3 linked regions of the Bombyx mori genome follow. The protein of the gene in region 2 purifies or fractionates together with the protein of the main gene of each other region. This does not show direct contact. Links are inferred from orthologs where the notes say so. Each region holds a gene or a part of one and is shown on either strand. Other genes may lie near its edges. The genes, in order: actin-binding protein WASF3, cytoplasmic FMR1-interacting protein and probable protein BRICK1-B.

Region 1 (3,657 bases), on a different chromosome or scaffold from region 2:
CATTATTTTTTTAAAAAACCAGCAATGAAACACAAAATCAAAAACAGCTGATGCTCGGATCAACGAAGGCCCGGGCGCACGGCCCAACGCCGCGTTTTGTCTTCGTTTTCGGAAGCGGTTTCCTAACACCCAGTATAGTATGATCACTGACACCTCAACTTAGATTCATTGTACGCATTCTATTCCCTCTATTGTTGACCGTTTCCAAGAAAATAAATCTGATAACACCAATACTCTTCAATAATTACTAAACAAATCAAAAAGATAATCGTTGGACAAAGAGACGAGAAAGTAGTACTCAAATATTTTGCCTTAACCTATTTATTCATTTGTATTTAAATAAAAACAATTGAAAGAGAACAACAGTTGACAAAATTCACTTATTCCAATAATGATCACAGGTCTAATGACGATATCGACTATACAACCTGACCAGACAACAAATAAATAAAAAATAAATAAATAAATTTGTATCGATGTCTCAATTCAATCTGATACACAGTACAATCACAATCAAAACAACAATCAACGATTTGTTTGGAAAATAATGGTCTCTTGGAAAAGGCTAGTAGAGCTCGGGGATTCTCGATTCTGTGTATAGTCCTTGTAGACATATATTTACTGGTGGTAGGCCTCTTGTGAGTCCGCACGGGTAGGTACTACCACCCTGCCTATTTCTGCCGTGATGCAGTAATGCGTTTTGATTTAAAGGGTGGGGCAGCAAAAGAATAAACTTTCACTGTCATTATCCGTCCACAAATTAAATAGCTCCTTAACATTCTATAATTCAAAAATATTTTCACTTTCTACGTAAATGAAGTGGAGGTAAAATTTAGCGTTATGCCAAAGTGACTATGCCACGCGGACGACGTCGCGGACTAAAGCTAGTGTAAACTGTATAACTCATGCAAATTTTTATTTTCCCACTATCGTAAATTTAATTCGAGAATCCTCAACAAACCTTCTTCCCTCTATCGTGCTGAATTCGTTCCGTATCTTGGAGCATTTCCCTTCGCCACAGCTCGAAGAAGTAATCGGGGTCCGTGTAGAACTTCCTCGCGTCCCTGCCGTCGTCTCTGAACTCGTTGAGGCGCTCGAGGGGCGGCGGCCGGTCACACTTGGCGTACGTCGCCAGCATCGCGGACGGCATCGTGTTGCGCGAGAACAGCTGTTGCTCGAACGAACGAGACGAACGGAAGGCCTTACGCATCTGGATGTCTTGGATGGACACTGAAAACAATCATTAGTAAGCCGAATATAAATTTCGCTAATTGTTGCTTAAATAAATAGAAAGTTGACTATTGAAATAAACTAGACCAGGGCTGTCTAAACTATACTACCTTTGCGGGCTAATAAAATTACTATATTTTTTTTCCTACCTAGCTGAGAGCCTTGAGAGGCCACTTCAGCGTAACCTTAACTAGTAGGTGAGCTCACGGGGCTCAAACCTGACGACGTTGCTAACACGAACCCTAGCAAGAGCCGTGCTTCGCAGAATCTACCACCGAAACGGAAAGCGACCCACTGAGATGATCCGGTGATAATAGTAAAAGATAGCTTTACTTTTAAATGATGACATGGAGTTGGAAAGTTACAAGAAAACAGATAAATTATACCAAATATTGATTGTATGTCTTGACAAAAAATTCTATCATTCAAACTGTTTATCCAAAACTATTTTCTGATTAAAACCTGCATCGCGGGCCGCATTAAAACAAGCTATGGGCTGGTTTTTCGGACAGCCCTGAACTAGAGACAACAGAGAAGCAGTACTGTTTTATTAACCCTTTGCACTCGAGAGGTGAGTCTCGCTCACGACTTTGTTTGATGCGGAAATTCAATGCGCTGTTTAAGCCAATTATGTTTCTTTGTTTGCTGATTTACATCTTTTTTTTATGTTTTTGATATCGTTATTTTTGTCATTAAATCATGTAGTGAGCGAGATTCACCTCTCGAAGACAAAGGGTTAATAATACAATTCATTTGAAATCATGACAACTCAGTTGAAGAGCGTAATTCAAGACCAGAGTGTAAACGCTGATTGTTGACTCCACTGTGGACTTCTTATGACCTAAATGCATTGTGATGAAGAGTATGAGTAATAATAAAACAAAAAATCACCTTCTTCAACACCGGAATCGAGTTGCGTCACCTTTATAGCGAGCCTGTCTATCCTCGCTTGGAGCACATTAGTTCTGTCCGCCAGGTTCGTGGCCTCCCGGGTCAATTCACCAAACATGTCCTCAGCATGCTTGGAGAGGGAAGAGAGTTGTCTGTAATATTGGAACAGAGTATTGGTAATAATATTTATCGCATTCTATTGCTTAGAATGGTGGACGAGCTCACAGCCCACCTGGTGTGAAGTGGTTACTGGAGCCCATAGACATCTACGGCGTAAATGCCGCCACCCACCTTGAGATATAAGTTCTAAGGTCTCAAGTATAGTTACAACGGCTGCCCCACCCTTCAAACCGAAACGCCATTACTGCTTCACGGCAGAAATAGGCAGGGTGGTTTTCGATTAATGTTTCGAGAAAATTATCTCTTCCTTCTTGAAGAGTCATTTCACCGGTTTCTGCTAATTGAAACCCACTGTGACATGATGGAATGACTATACAACTATCATATTTTATATTAGTGGTACAGGACTGAAGACCTAAGGGTATTCGAATTACGACTGACATGTTCCTTGACACGAGGTATTATGAGACTGGATCATTTCATTCTCAATCTATTCATTATAGACAAAAACAAAATAGCTAAGAAGTACCATTTTCAACTCTGTTTATCAAGCAATGTTTATTTGTTTGTATGTAATGGAATCTTTGAACGACATTTTCGCCAATCAAGACGTCCGATTAACTTGAAAATTTGCATACGCGATTCAATAGCAATAAAAAAAAAAATTCGCTCTATAATCCGAACCAGTATCAACAGGATAAAAAAAAATGAAATTAATCATTATTAACTCGGTTAGCTATTTAAGCTTGTTCTTTTTTTTAATTTATAAACTACAAATTCTTTTAATAATAATTCTTTTAATAATAATTAGAAACATTAACGATCTTATTGTTATTAGTAAGAATGAACAGATATGAGTAGAAGGGTTATTTTGATAATATCCAGAAAAGCATCCCACGCTTTTTTACAATAAAATCACTTTTTCTTACACTATTTTTAATTCAAATTTATTAAAATTTATTTTCTATTTTTTAGTTGGATTTTCTATAAAAGCGTATTGTGTAAGTTTTTTTAAACCATTATTTATTTTTCATTTTTTAGTTGAATTTCGATTTTATAATTATTTTTTTTTTCAATGATTTGTCATTGGTCCTTCTTAATAAGTATGCCAAATTTCGAGTTAATCCGACATTTTGAAGGGGGTCAAAATCATGTTCAAAGATTCCGTTACATACATACGTCTGAAGCTAATAAAAACGTATTAAAAAATAGAAACCGTTTTTTGTTATGTTTATTGAAATCTTGAGATGTCAAAGGTTGCGGTCAAATTTCGATCGATCATTAGTTGAAAGTTAGATTTATTATGTAATTTAATGCGTAGTAAGGTGGGGGTCTAGGGAACGTTGTATAGTACGCACCTGACAGTGTTCGCAAGGGTGCCATTGGTGACGGCCTCCAGTTCCGAAGGCACCGAGA
Region 2 (3,801 bases):
GTAAAATAGAAATTAAGGTAATTTAATAAAAGATGGCGAAATTGAATTTTGTGTGGATTTTTATTTGAATTCTTTATTTCGTGTAGTCAGTTACCTGTTCGGCCAATACATGTGTGACGGTTGAAGATTTGAGACACATATAGTACGGGTTTGACCCGTTCGCCTTGAGACATGAGGCATTTAACTTGATTCTGAAGAGATTGTGGAGATTACGGTAGGCAGCTGTTCGGCTCTGTCCCTGGCATTGTTGATCCATGAGCGACGGTAACCACTCACCATCAGGTGGGCCGTACGCTCCACCGCCTAATAGGGGAATAAAAATCTTCTTTTTCTTCACCTTATCCCACTAGGTGGGGTCGGTACAGCGAATTTTTCTCTTCCATTCTCTTCTATCAGCCGTCATCTCAACACTCACTCCTCTCTCTCTCATATCGTCATTCACACACTCCATCCATGTCTTCTTGGGTCGACCTCTTCCCCCTCTACTTAATATATACTTAATAATAGGGCAATAAAAAAATTATATAAAAAATCATTGCAGTAACCTTCGAACATCCAAGGAGAACTTTATGCTTCGTTGTCATCATTAAAATATACTAAAATTATTTTATCCAGCGACTAACTAAATTACAAAATAAAACACAATTTATTTATCATAGCTTTGATTTAATTTATATTTAATAATAAAATTGTATTGAGAAACAACACAAGTATTGAGTGCTGCAAGATTGGCATACGCGCACTTTACTATTGACAATGTCAATGTGTTGTCGATATATTAAAAATGGAGAAGACGAGACGGCTATCTAAACATAAAATTTAAACGTTCAATGTATCAGTAATAAATACAAAGAGTATCATGAGCATGCAATGTATAGCGTACAAAACATTTCGCTTCTCAATTCTCCGACAATTATAAAAACATTACAAATATAATTACTATATTAGACAATGATTTTAGTACATTTAATACAATATAACAAAAAAATCGAGCCAAAAAGTCTAATATTAGTAGTAAAAATCAAATCGCTTCAAATAATTACTTTCTAATACTATTTGTCTTGAGTTCGAAATAATTTTACAAAAATCCTCATTTATATATCTACACAAATAAATAAAATTGGAGTGTCTGTCTGTCTAAATGCGTAAGTATGTATACCACAGTACATATACCAAAATATTTTTTAGTTTTTGTCCGTCTTAATGCCTCTAAAGATATTCTTAAAAAAAAACTAATATTATTACAATTACAAGTGACATGCGCGTCTAGAACGCTGCTCAGACGATCATAAGCGTCCCCACGTGTACGTCATAGGAATGGCTTAGTTTTAATTATATCATAGTAACAATTATACAGGGTGTTACAAAATGTTTAGTTCCTACACCATTAAGGCATCGCGAGCTTTGATATTAAGGACATTAATATCTCAGATTCTCTCCAATCGCTACTGTAGGTTGGCGAGCATACGGCCCAACTGATGGTAAGTTGAGGGGCTCAGAGATAAAGCTCTGTGAAGCACTTTTTTGGCACACCGTGTAATCACAAATCGATATTGTTGGCCCTTTATGAACTTTGTAGGTATATGACCCACATGAGGTCACCGTGGCTCATGGACATCAACAAAACAGCCAAACAACATAAAATTCAAATGGAATTGAAATTACTGAAGGCTAATAGACGTTAAAAGTATAATTACAATTACTGGTAGTAGGACCTCTTGTGAATCCGTGCGGGTAGGTACCACCACCCTGCCTATTTCTGCCGTGAAGCAGTAATGCGTTTCGGTTTGAAGGATGGAGCAGCCGTTGTAACTATACTGAGACCTTAGTCTCAAGGTGGGTGGCGCATTTACATTGTAGATGTCAATGGGCTCCAGTAACCACTTAACAGCTGGGCTGTGAGCTCGTCCAACCATCTAAACCAGGGGTTCCCAAACTTATTTTGTCTACTGCCCACTTTGAGAATAAATTATTTTTTAGCGCCCCCATTTTATCACCTACTTCAAGACCTCTATAGCGAGAGAGCTCAGTCGGTGTCTAAGAGTCCTTCTAGATAAAATTACAAATTGCCTCCCAAACCTCTACACAGCGCCCCCAATTTTTTTCTGGGTCTCTTACCGCCCCCTTTAGGCCTTCAGCGCCCATAAGGGGGCGTTATCACCCACTTTGGGAAAGGCTGATCTAAGTAATAAAAAAAAATGGAATTTTCGTCGAGTTCTGGTCGCGCGGCGGCTCAGTTGAGCGTAAGCGGCGCCTGCGGGGGCGGGAAGCAGCGCACGTGCTCGACGCCGGCCGCGTCGTCCGCGGACAGCTGCCTGGACAGCACGCCGAAGATCTGCGAGTTCAGCACTTGGAACCGCCTGATGCGGTCCACCATCCGCTTGAGGGGCTGCGGACACAGGTAATACATAAATCTATACTAGTATATCAATCTACAGTGGTTTTACGGATGTTCCGTTATAACTACAGAACCGTGCATCCGATTGACTTGTAACTTGGTATTCATGTAAAAAATACATGTACTTAATGGATAGGCTAATATTTATATGAGTTTTGGACTCCCTACACCGGTTGCGGGGGCGTTAATGATGAGAATCTTTGTGGGGTTGAGAAGTAATAATGTTAATTTTAAATGCCCAGCGAAGCGGACGGGTACAGCTAGTATACATATATATAACGAGGGGAGAAAGACTATTTGGTTTAAGCGACATTTTTGTAACTTTACCGGAGAGCCATTTAAAGTTTAAATTTATTTTTGGAAGAAATATTAATTTCAATAAAGTGTTTGTAATTTAATATAAACTAGTGGTCCCCCAGTAGTCGAAATACAAATATAATTTATTGAAATTACTTTGTTTTTACAATTTTACACAGACTTTGAACAATAACAAAAGTTTGACAATAAACAATAAATAAAAGTGTGTGGTCAAATTGAGAATAGATTAATATTATTTGTCTATAGTTGTAGTCTTGGCGAAATCTCTGATTATAGAAGTATAATAAATAGTCTTTGACAATAGAACCATAATAATGTTCAAACTTATAATTTCAAGTATTTCGACTACTGAGGGAAGACCACTATAGTATTACTAAAGTTTTGTTATATGGCGGCGCACTCACAATGCCTTTGACCAGTTCATCCTTTCCGTCGACCCTCTGCACCCTCAGGATGTGGTAGCAGAAGTCCAGCGCCTCGAACCTCCTCTGCTGCCCCAGGAGAGCGATGATGGTGCAGCCGGCCCAATGGAGACCCTCGCCGAACAGTTCCCTGACAGTTCAACATTATAGATGAAGTGCAACTTCTTTAAGGGCGTTGAGGGTAAAATTTAACTTGCGACATATTCGTTACGGCTAGAGGCAAAAGATACGATTTGGAAATAACGAGAGTGAGAACCTACCTACATTTAAGTACTTTTAAGACTGTCGCATTTTTGAAGTGAAACTTCTTTAGGCGCGTTGAGAGTAAAATTAAACTCGCGACAGTTTCGTTACGGCAAGAGAGTTAAGATACAAGTTAGGAAGAGCGAGAGTGAGAGAATAGACAGAGCGTCTCGCGAACCACTCGACCGTCGAGAGAGGGAGAGGACAAAGCGAGATAGGTCGTCTCCTTTATACACAGCATTCCCTATTACAAGAGAGATTTGGAAGACAACTGAGCTGCTGTGTATTAAGAGGGTATTATTAAATTGCTAAAATACAGTGAACGCCTACGCACTTATTTACTCTACGACGAGGGTATGATCTTCCTCTGTCATCATAACTTGGCAAACTCTATATTGGTGGTAGGACGGGTAGGTACCA
Region 3 (4,345 bases), on a different chromosome or scaffold from region 2:
TTATGAAGCAAGTTCTTTGACACCGAAAAGTATACATTATTTAAAGTTACATGTACAAAAGTGGTGATAATGTTTCTGTTTACTTTGGATTACAAGATTAATCAAATCAATGATTATAATGCACTCTGTATGCAGACTTCCTAAAGGGTCTGCTGAATGATTAATGTGGTCCACAGAAGGTAGCTGTTTACTTTGAGACAAAAAGGCAAGGGATTAAAAATGTGCTGATCAATTTCCCTTACACCAGTAAGTTCAAATTTCCTAGCTAAAGCTCACACACATTATTTACTTTGCACATTTAGAATGGTTTATGAGTGTTTGGTATAAATGTTAATAAAATCAATGAAGTCGAATGAAAAGTTTGCTTTTAGGCAAGATCAAGTTACATACCAACTTATTCTATTTGTGGATGAGGCCATTTTGAAAATAAAACAACAATTAGTTATTACTTGTATACCTGATTTTATATAATACATTATACTAATGATACGTAATTAAATTGAAATAGCTTTGAAAACAATATAAATTAATATTTAAACATTTATTTTGATAAAGTATTTTTAATTCTTATCAATTTATAGTCTTTATTTTGATTCTTGAAAAGCTACTTAGTTATATTTTTTGTTTTAATTATAAATACTAGTACTCCTAATACATATTTGTTTATACTACATCAAAATTAATAAGACAAAATTGAGTATAACCTCACTGCAATGAAGTAGCTGAGATACTACAAAAATATCAACATACAATTTATTTATACTAAGTTTAGTTTTAAATGTACCATATGGAAACTTAATGAGAATTCGTGTACTTACTGCGCAGTCGGTATGAGTGTTACTACAGTGGACATTGTGTGCGGTATTTCCAAAACACCGAGTTCCACCAACGCTAGGAGTCCTTGACAGGCTGTCAGGCTCACAACAGGATCTTTGGACGAACATTTCTTCCTCAAAAACTTCAATTCCTCGTTTTCCAAAACGAATCTCTGTCGTTCTTCACGTTTGAATTTTGATTTTATCAATGTTATCAACTTTTCTACTGCGTTGACTATTAAGACACTGTTGTTAGTTTTCAATTTGTATTCGATTTCGTCCATTTTTATGTTTTCTGTGTAAAATTTGTAAGCCGGTAATTTATAGGCTATTGCAGATACAGATTTTTTTAAGTTAATTTCTAACCTAAGTCCTAAATCAAACAGCTGTTTAATGTTGTCATTTTTTGTTCATCTTGTTCACTTGAACAGGAAAAGGGCACATTGCTCGTACAGCCAAATCTTGAAATAAAAAAAATAAAAAATTAACCTTCTTTACAAAAACAATTGGATATTTATGCTACGTATGATGTATTAGCACGAGAACGATCTCATAGCTCGCCTGATTTAAAGCACCACATCCATGGCCCATAGACATCCCAAAATAAATTCCGCCACATACCTTGAGACACAAGATCAAAGTTTCATTTGTATGGTTTAACGGTTGTATCTCGGAACGTATACTGCTAGGCAGTAGAACTACAATAGGTGAATATACCTGCCCAGGGCTAACAATACGTCCTACTACAAGAAAATGTCGTTTGGAGATCGCAATAGGACGGTATACTCAAGGAACGCTGCTTGCCACTCCACGGTGAATGACTTCGTCGACTTTTGTGACACTGATGAGTAGAGATATTGTAGTGGATTCTGATTCTAAGCTGACATCGCATCCTCTGCCTCAATTAGAACAATCAACGAGCAAAATTCTAAGCTGTCAAATGTCAAACTATTATTATTTGTTTGAAACACTGAATGAATGAAAAGATTTACCTCAATTTGATTCATTAATTAAACTTGATAACTCTTTTAAAATACTTAAGTACAGAGTAAATCTACTTTATAAGCTATTTAAAATAAGTCGTGACTGATTATATATAATGTCGACGCCTCCAAGAGAAACAATACAGAAACAAATCCAGCAGGATTGGGCCAACAGAGAATACATAGAAGTGATCACAGGCAGCATAAAAAAAATTACAGACTTCCTCAATTCGTTCGGTAAGTGTATCAATATCAGCAGCTACAGGAGGTTCTTAAACAAGAAACATTTTAATTTCAAATTCAGAACACTATTAATTTTTCATAGGATAAGGTACTCGCCTTTCAAAACACAAGGAATGGAAAAATCTCAGTCGTCAGTGAAAAATGTAGTTTTCGAAACGATGGTAATAATAAAATAACAATAAAAATGGGAGATTAAACTGTAAATATATTTTCAATTAAACATACAACAAAAAAGTAGTCTACAACTACTGTTGTCTACAACTATTGTTGTCTACGACTATTGTTGTCTACAACTATTGTTGTCTACAACTATTGTTGTCTACAACTATTGTTGTCTACAACTTGCAGAACCCATAGAAAATATTCTGTTAAAACAGGTCAAAAAATGTAAGTCTTTATAAATGTGAAATTATCATAATATCATCAAATTTTCAGACATGTCCTGTAGATCTCGCCTTGCCACTTTGAATGAAAAATTAACATCATTAGAGAGGAAGATTGATTATTTGGAAGCTTGTGTAAGTAGTTACATATCGACGCTTGAAAGGCAAACGTGACTAAGCGACAATGCGTAAACTTTACAGTAGACTAATTTAAAGTTGAAATACCTGAAAACAAAATTTATTTTAATGAATCTATCTGTAGTAGAATCTAGCTAGTAGCTGTAAGATTGAAATGATTTTAATAGACATAGAAATATATTTTTTCTGTGCATCAAATATGGTTATTGCCTATCATTTATGTACAAAGCAGTTATTGTTGCTTAGTCACATTTGCCTTTCAAGCGTCGATATGATCAAATAGTTGTCAAATGCGCATCTGACATCATACGCATTACATCATAAATCTTCTAGATGAAGCTTGTATTTTTTTGCCTTTTTAGACAAATGAGGAAACACCACACCTGATGATGAGTGGTTATTGTTGCCCAACAATTTCTGCACTGCCAGAAGCAGTCTTGCTGCTGCAAATTACAGCAAAAAAAAAGTTCCTAACTAACTAATAAATTAATAAATAAAAAATCCTATTGAAATTATTCCAAAAAAGCACTCACTAAGTTTGGATGTGATTTTTTCAAACATCATTCAATAATGAAGTGAAACTTAAAATTCATAATTTTTTTATGAAATATGTACACATTTCTCTCATAAAGCAATTGTGTATTCTTGTTTCAAGAGTAAGATAAATACTTTCCAATTATTATGAGTTTAAAATTGACCTTCTGCATCAATTTGGATAGCACTATTTTGATGTCCATGGGTTTTTTTAAGTCCCTAGTAGCAGTTTGACTATAAACAAATCCAGTAATCTAGTAATTACCATATAAATTGTTTTTATTTTCAGGTAACTAAAGGTGAAACCTTAACATGAAGTAATCTTTGATAAATTCCATATAATTATAAGCGTTAGACATAAGTTCAATAATGTAGCAATCACTGAACAATCTCTACTCTCCAGTATAACAAAACTGCAATAAAATTTGGATATTAAAAGTACATATTATATATCGAACTACTTTGAAGCAATGTTAAAAAATATGTTATTATTAAGACCTGATATAGGTAAGGTGTGTTTAAATTATTGAAGCCACTGCTTTAGGCATGATGAGATTAGTATTAGGAGGCACTCTGTGGCAAGAATGAATAAAAATAGAATTTCTCTCGCTTTCTCCTCTGCTATCTATTTATTTCTTTTATGTTCCATTTCTGTTACTTTCAATGAGCTACACAAGAATATCTTTATTTATACATGTCTAAATTTTATATCTTTAAGTTCACTAAACTGAATCACACAAGAATGTGTTTATACACGTTTTGTATATGTATAAATTTTATATATTAAAGTTTACCAAAATCAGCACATTCCATTTGCAAAATTAGCTTTGTTGCTGATTCTTTCACCAAGAAAACAAGTTAAATATGTAAAGAAAAAATGTCAATTGTATTAGACTGAACATGCATAAAACAAAGTGGTTCTCTTTCTAGAAATTTATAAATAACTAACTGTAACCAATTTCGCGGAGAGTTGATGATGATTGCCTGAATCGCGGTAGTGTATTTGACTACAGACTCAAAGTAGAGGGGGACGGACGAAAAACTGAAACATAAATCTAGAAGTACATTCGAGTGCACATGTCTGATGTTTGGAGAAGGATTCAATAGATTCTTACTGTTTTTTTTTCCTACCTAAGCTGATAGCCTTGAGAGGCTATATCAGCGGAACCTTAACAAGTAGGTGAGCTCACGGGGCTCAAACCTGACGACGTTGCTAACACGAACCCTAGCAAGAGCCGTGCTTCGCAGA

What was found.
Region 1: the proteins of cytoplasmic FMR1-interacting protein (region 2) and actin-binding protein WASF3 purify together in Drosophila melanogaster (affinity purification with mass spectrometry; 3 studies listed by BioGRID, with this or other methods). This does not show direct contact. The link is inferred for Bombyx mori from reciprocal best matches to the Drosophila melanogaster genes Cyfip and SCAR.
Region 3: the proteins of cytoplasmic FMR1-interacting protein (region 2) and probable protein BRICK1-B purify together in Drosophila melanogaster (affinity purification with western blotting; 4 studies listed by BioGRID). This does not show direct contact. The link is inferred for Bombyx mori from reciprocal best matches to the Drosophila melanogaster genes Cyfip and HSPC300.

Annotation. Positions count from the first base shown.
Region 1 is NC_085109.1:3,372,452-3,376,108, reverse strand, and holds part of actin-binding protein WASF3, read right to left. Parts: coding exon 3,600-3,657; intron 2,274-3,599; coding exon 2,122-2,273; intron 1,231-2,121; coding exon 962-1,230; intron 1-961.
Region 2 is NC_085117.1:1,808,938-1,812,738, forward strand, and holds the end of cytoplasmic FMR1-interacting protein, read right to left. Parts: intron 3,269-3,801; coding exon 3,121-3,268; intron 2,390-3,120; coding exon 2,234-2,389; 3' UTR 646-2,233; downstream 1-645. UniProt on the Drosophila melanogaster protein: Plays a role in guidance and morphology of central and peripheral axons and in synaptic morphology. Also required for formation of cell membrane protrusions and for bristle development.
Region 3 is NC_085125.1:1,885,506-1,889,850, forward strand, and holds the start of probable protein BRICK1-B, read left to right. Parts: upstream 1-1,404; 5' UTR 1,405-1,914; coding exon 1,915-2,035; intron 2,036-2,476; coding exon 2,477-2,559; intron 2,560-3,385; coding exon 3,386-3,412; 3' UTR 3,413-4,345. Other genes in the region: focadhesin, read right to left, coding at 819-1,099.